Oryctolagus cuniculus: one gene and its partners. The protein of the gene in region 1 purifies or fractionates together with the protein of each later gene. This does not show direct contact. Links are inferred from orthologs where the notes say so. Each region holds a gene or a part of one and is shown in the gene's direction. Other genes may lie near its edges. The genes, in order: MGRN1, ANKRD46 and MC1R.

Region 1 (4,925 bases):
ATGGGATGCTGGCGCTTCAGGCCAGAGCGTTAACCCACTGAGCCACAGCGCCGGCCCCCATTCTGGAAATTTCTGTAAGAACCCACCAGCCTTCAAAAACCTGGAGTGCTGGTCTGGTTGCCGCGGAAGGGATCAGAGCACTGTGGCAAGTTCTCAGATCTGGTGGCGTAGTTAACTGTTGAGTTCTGAGCGCCGTGTTTCCATGGGTCCCACGGAACACGCTTGCTCAGGTCATGGGTGTCAGAGTGTCGTGTTTGCTGTTTCTACTCCGTGCTGACTTCCTAGCCCGGTCAGGCCCTTTGAGGGCGAGAGCTTGACTGTTGCTAACTTTGGCTTCCTCTGTCCTGTGTGTCCAGGAGGCCTGAACTTGGCTGAATGGCCTTGAACTTGAGTTGACTTCTGTTGGGCGGGGCAGGGCCAGAGGCTGTGCTGCTAGCAGGTTCTCCAGGTCTGGTCTGCGTGTCCCTCCTTTTCCGAGCAGGGGATAGGTTCCCCAGCAGGGAAGAGCCTCCAGCCCGCTGAGCGGGAGGGCGCGGAGCCCACGGGGAGTTAACGTCTGTGTCTTTGCCTGCAGCACGTGGACGGCAGCTTCTCCGTGAAGCCTCTAAAGCAGAAGCAGATCGTAAGTCTCACACACAGTAGCCTCGCCCTGGGATGAGAACGCCGCACGCGCCTCCGGGGGCGGGATTGGCACGCGAGGGCCGGGCCGAAGGTGCTGCCCAGACAGCTGCTGCAGCTCCCTGTGGGGCTCCGAGCTCTGGCTGTTCGCCCTGGGACTGGGTGCTGAATGCCCACCTGTGCCAGCAGCGGCTCTTGGAGGCCCCAGGTCTTGCCCAGTTGAGCCATGGTACCGAGAAGCCAGCAGCCAGTACATAGTTGATGAGTGAACGCATAGAGGGAGGAAGGAAGGTGATGGGAGGAAGACGGGAGCCTGACCCCGGCAGCAGGTGGCGGCCTGGACCGGCCTCTGCAGCTCACGAGAGGAGGGTGAGAAACCCTGGTGCTAATGGGAGCTGGACTCGGCACGTCTTCGCTTTGGGGTCAGTCTGTGCCTGTTCACACACCGGGACGTTCCTGCTGCTGGCTCCCACGCGGCTCCGTGGCAACGTAGAGTGGGGAGCAGGCCTTGGCCGGGGTCTGTGTCCCAGAGCCACGGTCAGATCTGTCCTGGGAAGAAGGGAGGGAACTCTGGGAGGTGCAGACTGTGAAGATGCCCTGGGGCTGGAGACGCCCGTGTGGCTGGGTGTTGTCTAGGGGTACTGCCCAGCAAGCTTCGGGCCCCCTGGGGTGCCCTGGTCCCTGAACTACGGGAGATCTAGCAACTGTGGTCACTTAGGAGCATGGTCAGCATGAGGCCATGAGGTGGGGAGCGAGTGGCAGGCCAGGAGAGAGATCGCCTGGGACCCTTAACCAGAGCTGTGGTCAGGCCTCCTGTAGGAGGTTCTGGAAAGCTGTGGCTGCGTCAGCTGCCATCTGGTGTCTCCCAGCGTCAGGTCCTGTGGGGCTGGCGGCGGTGGCTCTGGGCTTTCCCTGGAGGCGTGGCTGGTGGGCGGAGTGTGGTTCTGATCCACGTAGAGCTTGACGCAGGGCTGTCTGGGGCAGGACTGCCAGCCCACGGCCTGCTTCCTGCTTCCTGCGCTGTCAGCAGGCTGGGCGCGTGGCAGATTTCCTGCCCCAGGCTTTGCCTGGCATCAGGCCCCACAGAATTCCCAGCCACAGCTGCCCTGGGACCTCAGCCTGGCACCTTGTTGGGGGGGTGAGGGCATCCTCGCGTGGGGGCAGGCGAGGGCCCAGCGTTCCTCTCTGCTCTCCAGGTGGACCGGGTCAGCTACCTGCTGCAGGAGATCTACGGCATCGAGAACAAGAACAACCAGGAGACCAAGGTGTGTCCTGTGACGCGCCTGCCGTGGCTCGGCCGGCCACGCACCTGCGCTTCCTCCTGCCCCGTGGCGGCCACTCGAGGGGTGTGGCTTGCTGCTGTCACCCATGGAGGCTACTCGTGGGGTGTGGCTTGCTGCTGTCACCCATGGTGGTCACTTGTGGGGTGTGAGACTTGGTGTCACCCGTGGTGGCCACTTGCGGGGTGTGACTTGCTGCGGTTGCCCAGGGCACCCAGGGTTGATGGTGAACGGGTGGGGCTCCTTCCCGCCTTCCCTGGAACCTAGCTTTTAAGCACGTAGTTACTTCCTTGTTTGATGGATGGACAGCAGCCAGAGCGCCCGTCCTCCAGCTCTCTCTCAGGCTGGGAGCCGAGGGGGCCAAAGCCGGGAGCCCGAGTGCTATCCGGGTCTCCCACGTGGATGGCGGGAACCCAGTTACCTGAGTCAGCACCTCTGCCTCCTGGAGTCTGTGCTCGGGGGCTGGAGTCGGGAGCCAGAGCTGGGCGTCACCGGGCACCTCCACCTGGGATGCAGGCACCTTAGCGGCAGGTGCCTGCCGGCCGCAGGCTTGCCCCAGGATAATTCCTGTTCCGGAAGTTCACTTATAGGACGTTTTGTTCTCTTCCCAGCACTGTCACTGGCTTTTTCTGGAAATAGCCATCCCCATCTAGGGCAGCCTGGGCAAGAGGCACAGCCCCTGGTCCTTGTGGGGTTGGCCTGGCAACCTTAGGCTGTGAGCCGGTGCTGCCCTGCTGGCTTCCCCCTGCCTGCCTGCAGTTGTTGGTGGAGGGACAGGCTTTCTGGAAGGAGCCCGTGGTGGCCGACAGCCGGGCGTGGTCTAGGGCAGCCGGGGAAGCGCAGCCTAGACTGGTTGCATTTCCATCGTATTTTAAGGCACACTGGCACGTGGGAAACCGCTGCCTGTTCTTCCACGTCCCCCTCCTGTGCCCGACCCTGCTTACCTTCCGAGACGAGACGAGATCGGGCGTGTTTCGGGTGGTACAGCTGTAGACCAGAATTTCTGTGAATGGCTCATACCGTTTGTGGTGTGGTATTTGGGTCCAGGACAGCCGGAACCAGCCAGAAGCCGGGAGAGCAGGGAGCCTTGACCCCTCCCAGGGTTTATGTCAGGGGCCAGCCAGCTTTCTGGAGGCACTGCCCTCAGAATGCAGACGCAGCCGAGACAACTTGGAGGCAAGTGGATGTGGCTGGGCCCAGTGAAATAATCATTCACAGAGACAGGCACATCACTCACAAAGACAAGTATGTCTCACACAGACACATCAGACAGGCTGTCCCTTGGAGACAGGCTCGTTACAGTCACAGGTGCATCACTCAGCCAGGTGTGTTACAGGCGCATCACTTGGAGACAGGTATATTGCAGGTTGTCACTCAGACAGCCTCATTACAAACACAGGCGTGTCACAGGCACATCACTCAGGGACAGCCTCGTTACAGACACAGGTGCGTCACAGGTGCATCTCAGCCAGGTGGGTTACAGGCGCATCACTGGGAGACAGTCTCGGTACGGACACAGATGCATCACCCAAAGACAGGCTCATCACAGGCTGTCACTCAGAGGCAGGCTTGTTACAGACACAGGCACGTCACAGGTGCTTGACTCACAGAGACGGCACGTCCCAGCACGTCATAGACAGGCGTGACCGCCACGTGCGCGTTCCTGTTTCAGACGGTGCGGTGCTCGTCAGGTGCTGACGTGGTCTCTGGAAGCTGTGTTGCAGGCGTGGCCGCTAGGCTGCCAGGTTGTGAAGACGGCCCCTTAGCCGAGTGTGTCTGTCTCTCCCACGTTTCCTCTTTGGGTCCCAGGAACACAATCCCCAGGTTCCTGAGGTTTGGGTGGGTGAGGGCACGGCCCTACCTCTGCAGGGGCCCCGGCGTTCTGCCCGTCAGTGACCCGCTCTCCCTGGGCCTGCCGCCTGGGCGGCCCTGACCCACAGGCCCTTGTCCCCGCAGCCCGCGGATGATGAGAACAGTGACAATAGCAACGAATGTGTGGTGTGCCTGTCCGACCTCCGAGACACGCTGATCCTGCCCTGCCGCCACCTGTGTCTGTGCACCTCGTGCGCCGACACGCTGCGCTACCAGGCCAACAACTGCCCCATCTGCCGGCTGCGTGAGTGCTGGGCCCTGCTCCTCGGAAGGCTCTGGAGGTGACGGCCACGCCGCCGCAGTCCCGGACCAGGGTAGACCCGGGGCCACAGGTCCCTTGTGACCCAAGGAAAGGAAGGGCCATGGCTCCCTCACCTGCTGCACAAGGCGTCGGGGTGCTTTGCGAGAGCCCTGGGCCCTCCTCTGCCCTGTGCTCCGGCTCCGGGAGGCGCCCCAGAGGTGCTTCAGGGCAGGAGTCCGTGGTGACGGTTGACTGCACAGGACAGCAGGGAGGGGAACCAGGACAGGGTGGTAGGCAGGAAGTTGGCGGGGACTCGGTGCCCTGGGCACCATTCTGAGTGAGCGTTCGTCTCTCCCTTGAGGGAAGCTGGACTTTGTTGGTGCAAGCCCCCCAGTGAAGAGGAGACACCCACTTAGGTCCTGGCCGTGAGGGACGAGGTGTGGTCAGGGAGGAAGCTTCCATCTGGTGGGTTGCTGAGCCCTGGAACCAGGGCGTGGGCTGTGTGTGAGGTGGGCTGAGTGCCTGCTGCTGCTGCTGGACCCCGAGGGCTTCCCCGAGGTTGCAGCTAGGCGGAGGCAGAGGCGGGGTCTGTGCCACCGTGGTTGTCCCTGTGAGCCAGGTGGCCATGGAGGCTGCGTGAGTGCTGCCAGTGGGCCAGGACGCTCCAGGCGAGCCTGAGTGGTGGCAGGCAGCGCAGTGGAGCCCCGCTGGCCTCCGTCTGCGGAACAGGCTGCGGCGCCGGAGCTGAGGACCAGGGAGCCGGCTGGGGTGGGCCTTGGCGGGAAGTGCTGGGTGTCCAGGAGCTGTGTCGAGGGCTGAGCCTTGGTCCTGCCCGTGGCTTCTCTGCGCAGGCCATTTTGTTAAGGTCACTTCAGCCTGCAGTCCGGATGTGTGACTCGTCCCAGGACTGCAGT
Region 2 (5,608 bases), on another chromosome or scaffold:
CATGTCCTAATCCCCAGAACCTATGAATATGGTGACTTGTATGTTGTGCGATCAAGCCATAGATCTTGAGATGGAGAGATTATTCTAGATGATTGACTTGTGCGCCATTTAAACACAAGGGTCCTTATAAGGAGGCAGGAAAGTCAAAGTTAGGGAAGATGCGAGGACATAGGCATGTCAGAGAGGAGAAAAGATGCTACCTCGCTGGCGTTGGAGTTCACTGGAGTTGGAGTTCGTATTCCAGAGATGTTCTGAAGACCCTCAGGGAGGCTTCCCTTGCATGGCGCCTCCTAAGACCCCAGGAGGGACTCGGGAGATGATGTCCCATGGTCATACGCTTTTGTAAATCTTGCAAACTTAGACTATTTTAGCTACAATGACTGAGACTGCCGCCTCTTCCTACTCAGACTTTTCAAGGTACTCTTTTTTTTTTTTAAGATTTATTTATTTACTTGAAAGTCAGAGTTACAAAGAGAGAGGAGAGGCAGAGAGAGAGAGAGAGAGAGAGAGAGAGAGAGACTTTTCCACCCGCTGGTTCACCCCCATTTGGCCACAATGGCCAGAGTTATGTTAAGCCAAAAGCAGGAGCTTCTTCCAGGTCTCCCACATGGGTGCAGGGGCCCAAGCACTTGGGCCATCCTCTACTGCTTTCCCAGGCCACAGCAGAGAGCTGGATCAGAAGTGGAGCAGCCAGGTCTCAAACCGGTGCCCATAGGGATGCCAGCACTTCAGGCCAGGGCATTAACCCGCTGCGCCACAGTGCCAGCCCCTCAAGGTACTCTTCCCTGGATCAAGCATTTTGGGGTTCTGGCCAAACAGGAATACACTGGGTATACTTTGGTTTGCATTTAGTGGGATCTACTCACGTAGCTCATGGTCACTGTCATGCAGCAGTCAGTTATTGCTGGAGTCTAGGAAGAGCTTCCGTGCAGGCTCCTAACAGCTAATGTGTCAGAGTCCCCAGGTGTGGTGACGCCAAGGAGTCATAGAACACGCTTGGCTTGCAGCTCATCCCCTTAATCTCATCAGATGAATAAAAGCTAAATTTTGCAGATTGAACAAAATGAAGCAATTCATGAGAGAGGTGAGCTTGAATACAAGTAGTGGACAGGCCCTCAGGTGAACACTAGGACAAGGCTTAATTGCCTTGCTGATTTGACATAATTTTCATGCATCCTTGGAGGCGATAAAAACTCAATACATGATCCTTTGGAAGACATCAATGACAAATTGGCTAATAAATGTCATCAATCCAAAGAGTAATGTTTGATTAGTTACTGCACAAGAAAATGTGAAATATCCTGGGATCTCCCAATTGTTATACAGAAGAAATGTGGTCATGCATTCCTTAGATTTGACAGTAACCCTAATCATAGACATGACATCATCGATAACAAGCTCTCAGCCTGGGTGGATGGCCCTTGAATGGATGGGTGCCAGAATCCAGAGGAGAGACTGTTACCATGCAGGGGTCATCACCCTGGCTGCAGGGTGGGAGCTGATAAGCTAAGAAAAGGTATGGGGGGGGGGGGAGGTCTCAGTAAACGAACTTCCCCATTGTTAGCTTTGAGCACATGTTGCAAAAAGGCAAGGAATCCTACAAAGCGGAATGTAAATCACTCAAAAAAAACCCCATATTTTTGTAAAATTTAAAACTCAGGGTTATGGGTTAAGGTGAGGTCACTTGGGTTCTGTAGTTCCACCGTAGCAGTGAGCAACTATGATTAATTGATGCTTAATAGCAAACTAATAAAACCGTCCTTGCCCTTGAGGCCTCCATTTAGCCGAGGGGTTGGGATGCATATCCAGAAAGGGCTGTGAAAAGTGCAGAACGTCCAGGACGCAGATGGAGGAAGGCAACGCCTTTCCTTTCAGAATCCGACCTACAGAGAGGGCTCACCTGTGTGTCTCGGACCCAGGAAGTGCCCAGCGGCTGTGCGGGCCTCCCACCTGCAGGGGGCGCGCCCGCCGCGGCGGCGCGAGGCCGCTCTGGTCCAGCGGAGGGGGCTCGTCCTGCCTCTGTGGCTGGCCGGTCCCCTCCTCCGCCGGCCTCCGTCACGGCCAAGGTGCTGCCGCTGTCGCCGCTGTTGCTCGTCCGAGTCGCAGGTACCTGGGCCGGGCCCCACGGGCAGCGCCTGGGCAGGAGCCACTGCTGCCTCCGCGGCTGGCCCCGAAGGCCCGGAGAGCCCGGGTCCTGGGCCTGGCAGAGGGGCCTGCGGGGCGCGGGCGCCTGGGTCTCGCACCTTGCGCTGAGGCCGGGGAAGCCGAGGCGCGGCCGAGTGGTGGTGGTGCGGGCCGGAAGGCGGCCCGCGCGGGTTCGCGTTGACACCCCGGGGTAGTGGTCGACGGGGGGGATCGTGTTAACATTACAGGCCGAGTGTGCCTTATCCGGAGAGCTGGGGGCCAGAAGTGTGTGCGGAGTGTGGAATATTTGCTACGCAGGCTGCGGCATCCCGGGGAGGGGACCCTGGGCTGAGCACTGCAATGCGTTTGTGTTCCGTGCAGCCCCTGTGCACAGAGCCCGAAGGTCTTTGTGGCGTGCCCGCGTTTTGACTGCGGCGGGACGTGGCGTCAGGCGTGGAGTTTTGCGGCTGTGGCGCCCCGTGTCTCTGCTCGCACACCCTCAGGGGGTTGTGGTTTAGGGGTGCTCAGCGTGTACACCAGTACTGACAGCCCCGGGGACCTTTACTGCATCCCGACAGCAGCCCTCAGCCGCCGTTTCTGTTTTGCAGAGAGGGAAACTGAGGCAAGGAGAGTGCAACTTGTCCGAGACTTGACGGCTGGCGGAGGGTGAGTGAGAGCTGAGCCTCGGCTGCTTGCGACTGTTGCCTGTGCACACGTGTTCGTGTTCTCCGGGCTGTGTGTGTGTGTGTGTGTGTGTGTGATTTATAGCCTGAACGACGTCTTTCAAGGTTTATGGTTGCGGCTGTACACGTTCCAGCTCCTCCCCAGTTTAACGGGAGTCTAATAAAACTTCCCTCATTAGGGGTTATAGAGATTAATATAGCCCTCACTGCTCGGTATGTTGGATTCGAAATAGAGATGAGTTTGGATGTGAACAGCGTACATGGCTTTCCAACACCGTGTGATTTCTTACCGTTGTAACAAGCTCCCTCCTGCCTTTTCAGTCTTAGGATAGCAGCATCAGAGGGGGTGGGAGATGTTTCAGCGAGAGTAAGTTGCTATTTTCAGGGTTTAGGAAGGGCAGTGGGGAGAGGCTGTGAGGTGAAGAGCAAGGACGAGAGTTGGTAGCCTGTTATTTAGAGTAGATTGAGTAACATACTGTGGGAGGTACAGGATTTGCAGAGTTCCATCATTGTTAGGATGGAAGTTTTATTTCCCATTGTTGGCTGTTAGAGTGTCCCAGATCTCTTAGTACTGTCAGGATTTCTTTATTTGCATAGGTCAGCATTTATATAGCAGATTTACGTTGACTTCCTTCTGTAACCAGGCGCTGCCCTGAACACTGGGATTGTAAGAGTGAGCCAAACAGAGTCGTCCTCATTTCGCTGGAGGTGATGGAGGTGGGGGCAGTAAACAGAATAACTTTTAAAAAAAATCGAATCACCACCTGGCATTGGTACAGTGGGTTAAGCCTTGCTTGCAAAGCCATCATCCCATGTCTGAGTGCTGGTTCAAGTCTTGGCTCTGCTTCTGATCCAGCTCGCTGCTAATATGCCTGAGAAGGCAACAGGAGATGGAACAAGTCCCTGGGCCCCTGTCACCCATGTGGGGGATCCAGATGGAGTTCCACACTTGGCTTTAGTCTGGCCCAGATCTGGCTATTGTGGCCATTTGGGGAGTGAACCAGCTGGTGGAAGATCTCTCTGTGTGTCTCCCTCCCTCTCTGTTGCTCCACTTTTCAACTAAACATATAAATCTTGTTTTTTTAAAAAATCAATCAAAACATATCCAGTCAGATGGTGACAGTTACTAAGAAGAAAGATGGAGGAGTGAACTGGCACAGGAAGTACCGGGAGGGAACAGGCACACTTCTAACCTGAGGAACCTTGCCGTGGAGAACACCGCTGAGCAGAACCGAGGGAACATGGGACAGCGGGGCAGCTCCCAGGGAAGAACACAGTGGGCAGGTGCAGAAGCCCAGAAATCCCCCGTCTTGTTGGAGGAGCAGCAGAGGGAGGGAGGGAGCTTTGTACACTGAGTATAGTAGTAGGAGGTGGTTGGAGGGTGTTGTTCAGAGGGGTGAGGGACCCTGGCTTGATGTTTTTCAACAATCACCGAGGCTACTCTGTTCAGAGTGGACTATGAGGGCAAGGATGGAAGCTGGGAGACCAGTTAGGAGGTGGGTGCACTGATCCAAGTGAGAGATGATGGTGACATAGAACAGGTAGTCGTGGTAGAGGCACAGCAGCCCCCATTTGTCTCTGGGGACTGTGTACCAAGTACCCAGTAGATGCTTGAAAACACAGAACCAAACCCTACATACAGGAGTCTGTGTTTTTCCTATCCGTAATACCTATGATGACATTTAATTTATGAATTAGGCACAGTAAGAGGTTAGCAGCAGTGACTGCTCATAAAATAGGACAATTAAAGTAACCTCCTGTGCTACCAAGGCCATTGGTACTCACAAGAACACTTCGAGGAGAGAATGAGGGAAAACACCTGGTTGGTGTGGTTTCAAGAGTAACTACTGGCAGAGGACTTGGAGATGCATGGACAGCACTTTGCAGGGAGTTAGCATAACTTACTCGTATATATAATATATGTGTATAAATATATTTTTTATTTAAGGATTTATTTATTCATTTGAAAGGCAGAGTGATGGAGAGGGAGGGAGAGACAGAGAGACAAATTCACATACTGGTCCACTCTTCAGATGGTCACAACAGCCAGACCAGACTCCATCCATCCAGGTCTCTCACTTAAGTGGCTGAGACCGAAGAACTTGGACCATCATCCACTGCTTCCCCAGGCACATCAGCATGGGGCTGGATCAGCAGCCAGTAGCTGGGACTCAAACTAGCACTCTGCTATGGAATGCTGGTGTCACAGGTGGTGGCCTAAACCACTGTGTCTCAGCGCTGCTCCTCTTGTATGAAATATTTGAAAGCACTGGAGTCATTCCCACATAATATGATCTTTGTTTCTTTTTTATAAAGATTTATTTTTTATTTACCTGAAAGGCAGAGAGCGAACTCTTCCATCTGTTGGTTCACCCCCAAAAGTACAGCAACAGCTAGAGCTAGGCCCAGGTGAAGCCAGGAGCCCAGAGTTTCCTCCAGGTCTCCCACGTGGGAGCAGGGGCCCAAGCACCTGGGCCATCTTCTGCTGCTTTCCCAGGCCATAGCAGAGAGCTGATCGGAAGTGGAGCAGCTGGGTCTCCAACCAGTGCCCATACAAGATGCCAGCGTTGCAGGCGGAGGCTTACCCCACTGTGCCACAGCACTGGGCCCGATTATCTTTATTTCCAACTTAGCTACTTATCAGTTACACTTGGATTATTTTATCAACGACTGAGGGAAATAACTGTAGTATTGCTAGTAATAGTATGCAATTAATTTTCCAAATGAAGCGTGTCCTTTTTGCACAGTACATTTCAGGGCTCATAAAAACACTTGGGTGGACCATGTACCTTTAAGATTAA
Region 3 (5,391 bases), on another chromosome or scaffold:
GGAAATCATGGACTCTTCGTGTGTTCATGAAAAGAACCTTCTGCTGCACTGGGCCTCGTCCCAGTGAGGGAGTGGTCCCGTGGCAGCTGCTCGCTCAGCCTCACTCTGTGGGCCCTGCCCGTAATCCCGATGTGGGCGCCAGTGTGTGCGCCAGTGTGTGGCAGAGAGGCTGCAGCCCCACCTCTCACCAGCAGGGGTCTCCACGCATAAGTAGCTGTAGGCTGCTGGAGGAGACAGTGAACCTACAGCTTTTCTTTATTTGCCTTTATTTATTTGAAAGGTAGAGACACAGAGAAAGAGAGAGAAGGAGGGAGGGGGGGAGGGAGAGAGGGAGGTAGAGGTAGAGGTCTTACATCCTCTGGTTCACCCCCCAAATGCCCTCAATGGCCAGGGCTGCACTAGGCCGAAGCCAGGAGCTTCTTCCAGGTCTCCCACATGGGTGCAGGGGCCCAAGCACTTGGGCCGTCTTCCACTGCTGTCCCAGGCACATCAGCAGGGAGCTGGATTGGAAGTGGAGCATCCAGGGCTTGAACCGACATCCATATGGGACGTCCTCAAGCTGTTCGGGAGCCACTGCCCACCCCAGGGCCCTCATCTGCTATGCTGTGCAGACATAGGGCCTCCATTGTGTCCTTGGGCTCCCTAAGGCTGCTTCCTGACCCTGCCAGTGGGAGATGGGTGGGAGACAGCTGACGAGGGCCGTTGTGAGTGGGGCTGGAAACCGGAGGTAGTAACTGATTTTGTCCTGTGACCCTTCTTGCCCTTGTCTTGCAGGCTAAGTCCTGTCAGCCATGGAAACACAATCGCCCTCTTCTTCAGGTCCCTGTTGCCAAATTACACCATGGAGGTACGTGGAGCGGCCTCGGCCCGTCCCTGCCGGGCTGGTAGACAAGTCCACCTGGGTGTGAGAGTCTGCAGCCATGCAGGCAGCGCAGGCGCAGGGAAGGACCTATGTGCAGTCTGCTGAGCAGTCGAGGCGGGAGCCCCACGGCCAGCGTGGCTGCTGGGCCGGCTCCCTGGGCCTGACGTGGCTTCTGCACCTTCGTTTGGTTTCTGAGAGCTCCCTCACTTTGGCAGGGACATGGGGAGGGTCTGGGGCCCAGTGCTAACGCATGGGCATCCTCGGGCGTTGGAGCACACACCTCCCGAGTCCCAGCCCAGATGTGTCTCGTTGCCACAGGGGGAGAGGCCAGATGAAGGAGTTGCTGGGGGTCTGAACCGCAACCAGGGCTTGAACAGGCTGATGCTGGCTGTGCGCGACATGATGGCCAACTTCCACTTCAACGACCTGGAGGCACCGCGAGAGGACAACCCCGAGGGGGAGGGGGAGTGGGGCTGAGCTGTGTGCACGTGCTGCGCCCCACACTGTGCAATTATGTTCCTGATTTCTGTTCTGGTCGGAATTGGCCAGGCCCCGCAAGTAGAAAAGCTGGATGTATCATCGGCCTGCGTCTTCTGTTCCCTGCGGGTGTCGGCGGGCGGTGCCCGCACCCATTCAGCCGCCTCCAGGGTGGGCTCCTGGAACTTGGACAAGGTTGTGTGGGGCCCCCTGGGTGCTCCCTGCTGGGGCAGGGTCCCTGGGCCCCTTCAGAGCAGAGCAGCACGTGTGACCTAGCTGGCCGATGAACGCCACCGTCTCTCCAATCTGACGGGGTGAGTTATCGCAAAACTACAGGGCGGGGCCCAGATGAAGGGGAAACCCAAAAGCAGGTTTTGTTTGTTTGGTTTTGGAAATTGACTTTCTGTTCGAAAAGCAGAGTTACAGGAGCGTTGAAAGGAAGGGCTTACTCCCCTGATGGCCGCAAGGGCCGAGCTGGGGCAGGCCGAAGCCAGGATCAGGAGCTCCATTTCGGTCTCCCCTGTGGGTGTCGGGGGCCTGAGCACTGGGACCATCATTTGCTGTCTCCCAGAGTGCACGTGAGCAGGAGCTGAGTAGGAAGCGGGGCAGCCAGGGCTCTAGGGGCGCTGCAGTACAGGGTGCAGGCCTGCAGGAGGCCCCAGGGAGCAGGTTTGGGGAAGACGTGTCTTGATTAAGGGTTGCTTGATCTGGCGGTAGCGTGTGGCCCGGGGCAGGGCCTGGCTCACTTGTTCAGCACGTGCCCAGGTCCCGAGGGCCCCACGGTGCTGCCGCCGTCACACAGGTGAGGCCGTTGCTCTGGCCCAGGGCTTGGAAGCCTGACTGGTCCTGGAAGGATCCGAGCCTGCAGGTGTGAAGAAGTGCGGCAGGTGTTCTGTCCCTGCTCAGCCCCAGCTTCCACACAGGAGGGAGAGGGCGGGGTGAGGAAACGATGCCGGCCACAGGGTGGTGAGAGCTGCTGGCCAGAGGCGGCCGGCGCGGTCCTCCCCAAGGCCTGGCCCGCTGGCCTCCCCCGAGAAGCCCCCACAGTGCTTCGTTGTTCCTGTGAGGTGGTGGTGTTGGCTGGTAGGGGAGGGGAGGCAGGGTCACCTGGTACAGCAGAGGTTGGGGGGGTGCCCTACATTTACTACCAGATGCCTGGGGTGCCGGCCCCCTCCCCGGGACCTCCCCGGGATGTCAAGAGCTCACTGCATGGTGTTGATAGCGAGAGAGAGCCCGGGAGCCAAGCTGCCACTGCCTGTCTCAGATCTGGGCCTGCAGCTCCACTTTGTAGCAAGAGCGTGGAGTCCGGTGCCTGCTGTGCCCTTGAGAGACCACGTGCAAGGAGCCATGCTGTGGGTGGGTCCCGACGGCTGTCCCAGACGGGGACCATGTGCCAGCACACGGGTGGGTGAGCAACAGCCCCCATCTTGCTCGCCGGCAGCTGGGGAGTCCTGGAAGGAACTTGAGCTGGGACGCTGGGCTGTGCCGAGAGGTCGTGTTCTGGAAGTGAGCGTCGGAGGGCGTGGCACTGTGCCTCTCCCCCAGCCTGTGGAGATGTGACATCTGGAGCCACATCAGCCTCCCTGCACCCTGCCTGAAGCAGACCAAGATGACACTGACCAGGCCTGCTGTCCTGAGAGGCCGGGAGCCCACAGAGCCAGGGCTGTGGGGTCACCTGCAGCTGACACATTGCTAATGGCAGTGGGAGGAGACACCTGTGGCCCTCACGTCCCATCTTTCAGCTTGAAGGGCTGCATCTGCTACCCAGGCCAGGGGTCGTGCTGAGTCCCAGCTGTCCCTGGACTCTGCTCAGCTTCCACGGGAGGCCCCTGTGTGCCAAGGGGCTGGGATACGGGGCAGACCAGAGACCTGTTCAGCATCCCCACCCCCAGATTCAAAGGAGAGGGTTAGGGGCCGGTGTGCCTGGGAGAGCAGTGGAGGATGACCCAAGAGCTCAGGCCCCTGCACCCATGTAGAGACCCAGAGGAAGCTCCTGGCCGTTGCAGCCATCTAGGGAGTGAACCAGTGGGTAGACTATCGTTCTCTTTCCTTGTCTCTCTCTTGCTTTGACTTTAAAAATTAGAAATTAAGTAAGTAGGGGCTGGTGCTATGGCGTAGCAGGTAAGGCCGCCGCCTGCAGTGCCAACATCCCATATGAATTCCGGTTCAATCCTGGCTGCTCCACTTCCGATCCAGCTCTCTGCTGTGGCCTGGGAAAGCAGCAGAAGATGACCCAAGTCCTTAGGCACCTGCAGCCGTGGGAGACTCAGAAGAAGCTCCTGGCTTCAGATCGGCAGCTCTGGCTGTTGAAGCCATTTGGGGAGTGAACCAGCAGATGGTAGACCTCTCTCTCTCTCTCTCAGCCTCTCCTCCTCTCTGTGTGACTGACTTTCAAGTAAATAAGTCTTTAAAAAAATAAAAGCTAAAAAAGGTTAAAGACAACAGTTAAAAATAAATACGTAGGGGCCAATGCTGTGGCGTAGAAAGTTAAGCCTCACCTGCAGTGTTGGCAGTCCACGTGGACACCGGTTCAAGTCCCTGCTGCTGATGTGCCTGGAAAAGCAGTGGAAGATGGCCCGAGTGTTTGGGCCCCTGCATCCACGTGGGAGACCCGGAAGAAGCTCCTGGCTCCTGGTTTTGGCCTGGACCAAACCGGGCCATTGCAGCCATTTGGGGGGTGGTGAACCAGTGGCTGTAAGACGTCTCCTCCTCTGTAACTCTGCCTCTCAAGTAAATAAATAAATAAATAATAATAATGATAATAATTAAATCTTAAAAAAGATGGACAGCACCCCAACCAAAATGTGGTGCCCCAGCTCTGATAGGCTGCAGCGGGAGCTCACTGAGGAGAGCCAGTGGGCAGGCGCGTGGCTGGTGAGGGGAGCAGGACCAGGAGCCGGGCACCCCCACCCCACCACACTGGCTGCAGCTGTGGCTGGACACAGAGAGGCTACACCCCATGGCTCAGTTGCACGTCTGGAGGTGTGGCAGGTACACAGCAGCACTGGGGAGGCTCCGCTCTGCTCAGCTCTTGACATCTGGGCTGGTCCAGAGGCCTCTCAGGTGGTGGACAATGGTGAGTGGCCAGTGCACTCTGTCCCATGCTGGGACTGCCCAGCATGCCTCCTGCTTCACAGATTGTCCAGGGGCACTAGGAGGTGAAGTCGGTGTGACTCCTGTTAGGGTCTTCCGGTTTCGTCTCTTCCCTCCGGTGACAGACAGAAGCTCGGCACGAGAGTCCTATGGCAGGGTCACCCTCCCCTGGTGCCCACCAGCATGGTTGTGCCAGGAGGAAGGATGTGGTCACCTCGGCCAAAGGCTGCCTGGTTCCCACGCTCTTCAAATCCCAGGCTGGGCGAGTGGGGGAGGAAGGCTGGTGTGAACCCTGTTGCTTCTCAAAGGCCTCATTTACGGAGCTGGAAACACATCCCCGAAATGTGACAGCACAGGAAGCTGGGGCTGGCGCTGCTGACCGCTGGGGGATCTGCGGGCACCAGGAGTTGTGGCCCCAGGACACGGCTCCCCCTGCCCCAGCCCTGGTTCCCGATCACCTCCTGGGACCCTCCGCCACCTTTTGGCTGCCACTCGGTCAGCCGGGAGCAGAAGCTGGGATGCAGCTGTGGCAGGGCCTCCCTTGCGGCTCTGCTGCGCCACCTCCACCACTGTGGAAAGTGCACAAAGGCAAGGCTGACACACCTCTGCCCACCCCGTGCCTGTCCTTGGTGTCATCCTGCAGGAGCACACGTGTTCAACCAAAAGGTGGGAGCATCTCCCAGCACTGTCCGTCATAGGCAGAGCCCAGGAGCCGGCCAGATGCCCAGTATGGCCTGGTCACACAGTGGACAGCACACGGTCTGGATGAGGACAATTCCTGCAACAAGGGCAGATCTCTCTGTGAGCAAGAACATCCGGCCTGTGTGACTCCATGTGCATGACAGGGTGTGCTAGAGTAGGCACAGTGCTCTGGTTCGGAGGCCCGGCCGTTAGCTCGCTGGGGCGGCAGGAGGAGCCGCCGTGCCTTGGCCCGTGTCTTGTTTGTTCTGCTTTGGGAC

The links.
Region 2: the proteins of MGRN1 (region 1) and ANKRD46 purify together in Homo sapiens (co-immunoprecipitation; 3 studies listed by BioGRID and IntAct, counting the BioPlex papers as one, with this or other methods). This does not show direct contact. The link is inferred for Oryctolagus cuniculus from reciprocal best matches to the Homo sapiens genes MGRN1 and ANKRD46.
Region 3: the proteins of MGRN1 (region 1) and MC1R purify together in Homo sapiens (affinity purification with western blotting; 3 studies listed by BioGRID). This does not show direct contact. The link is inferred for Oryctolagus cuniculus from reciprocal best matches to the Homo sapiens genes MGRN1 and MC1R.

Annotation. Positions count from the first base shown.
Region 1 is NC_091450.1:30,941,396-30,946,320, reverse strand, and holds part of MGRN1 (E3 ubiquitin-protein ligase MGRN1), read left to right. Parts: intron 1-574; coding exon 575-622; intron 623-1,814; coding exon 1,815-1,883; intron 1,884-3,854; coding exon 3,855-4,014; intron 4,015-4,925. UniProt on the Homo sapiens protein: E3 ubiquitin-protein ligase. Mediates monoubiquitination at multiple sites of TSG101 in the presence of UBE2D1, but not of UBE2G1, nor UBE2H. Plays a role in the regulation of endosome-to-lysosome trafficking.
Region 2 is NC_091437.1:126,040,140-126,045,747, reverse strand, and holds the start of ANKRD46 (ankyrin repeat domain-containing protein 46), read left to right. Parts: upstream 1-1,974; 5' UTR 1,975-2,106; intron 2,107-2,732; 5' UTR 2,733-2,790; intron 2,791-5,608.
Region 3 is NC_091449.1:69,457,393-69,462,783, forward strand, and holds the start of MC1R (melanocyte-stimulating hormone receptor), read left to right. Parts: upstream 1-1,596; 5' UTR 1,597-5,391. Other genes in the region: ribosome quality control complex subunit TCF25, read left to right, coding at 775-847, 1,181-1,339. UniProt on the Homo sapiens protein: Receptor for MSH (alpha, beta and gamma) and ACTH. The activity of this receptor is mediated by G proteins which activate adenylate cyclase.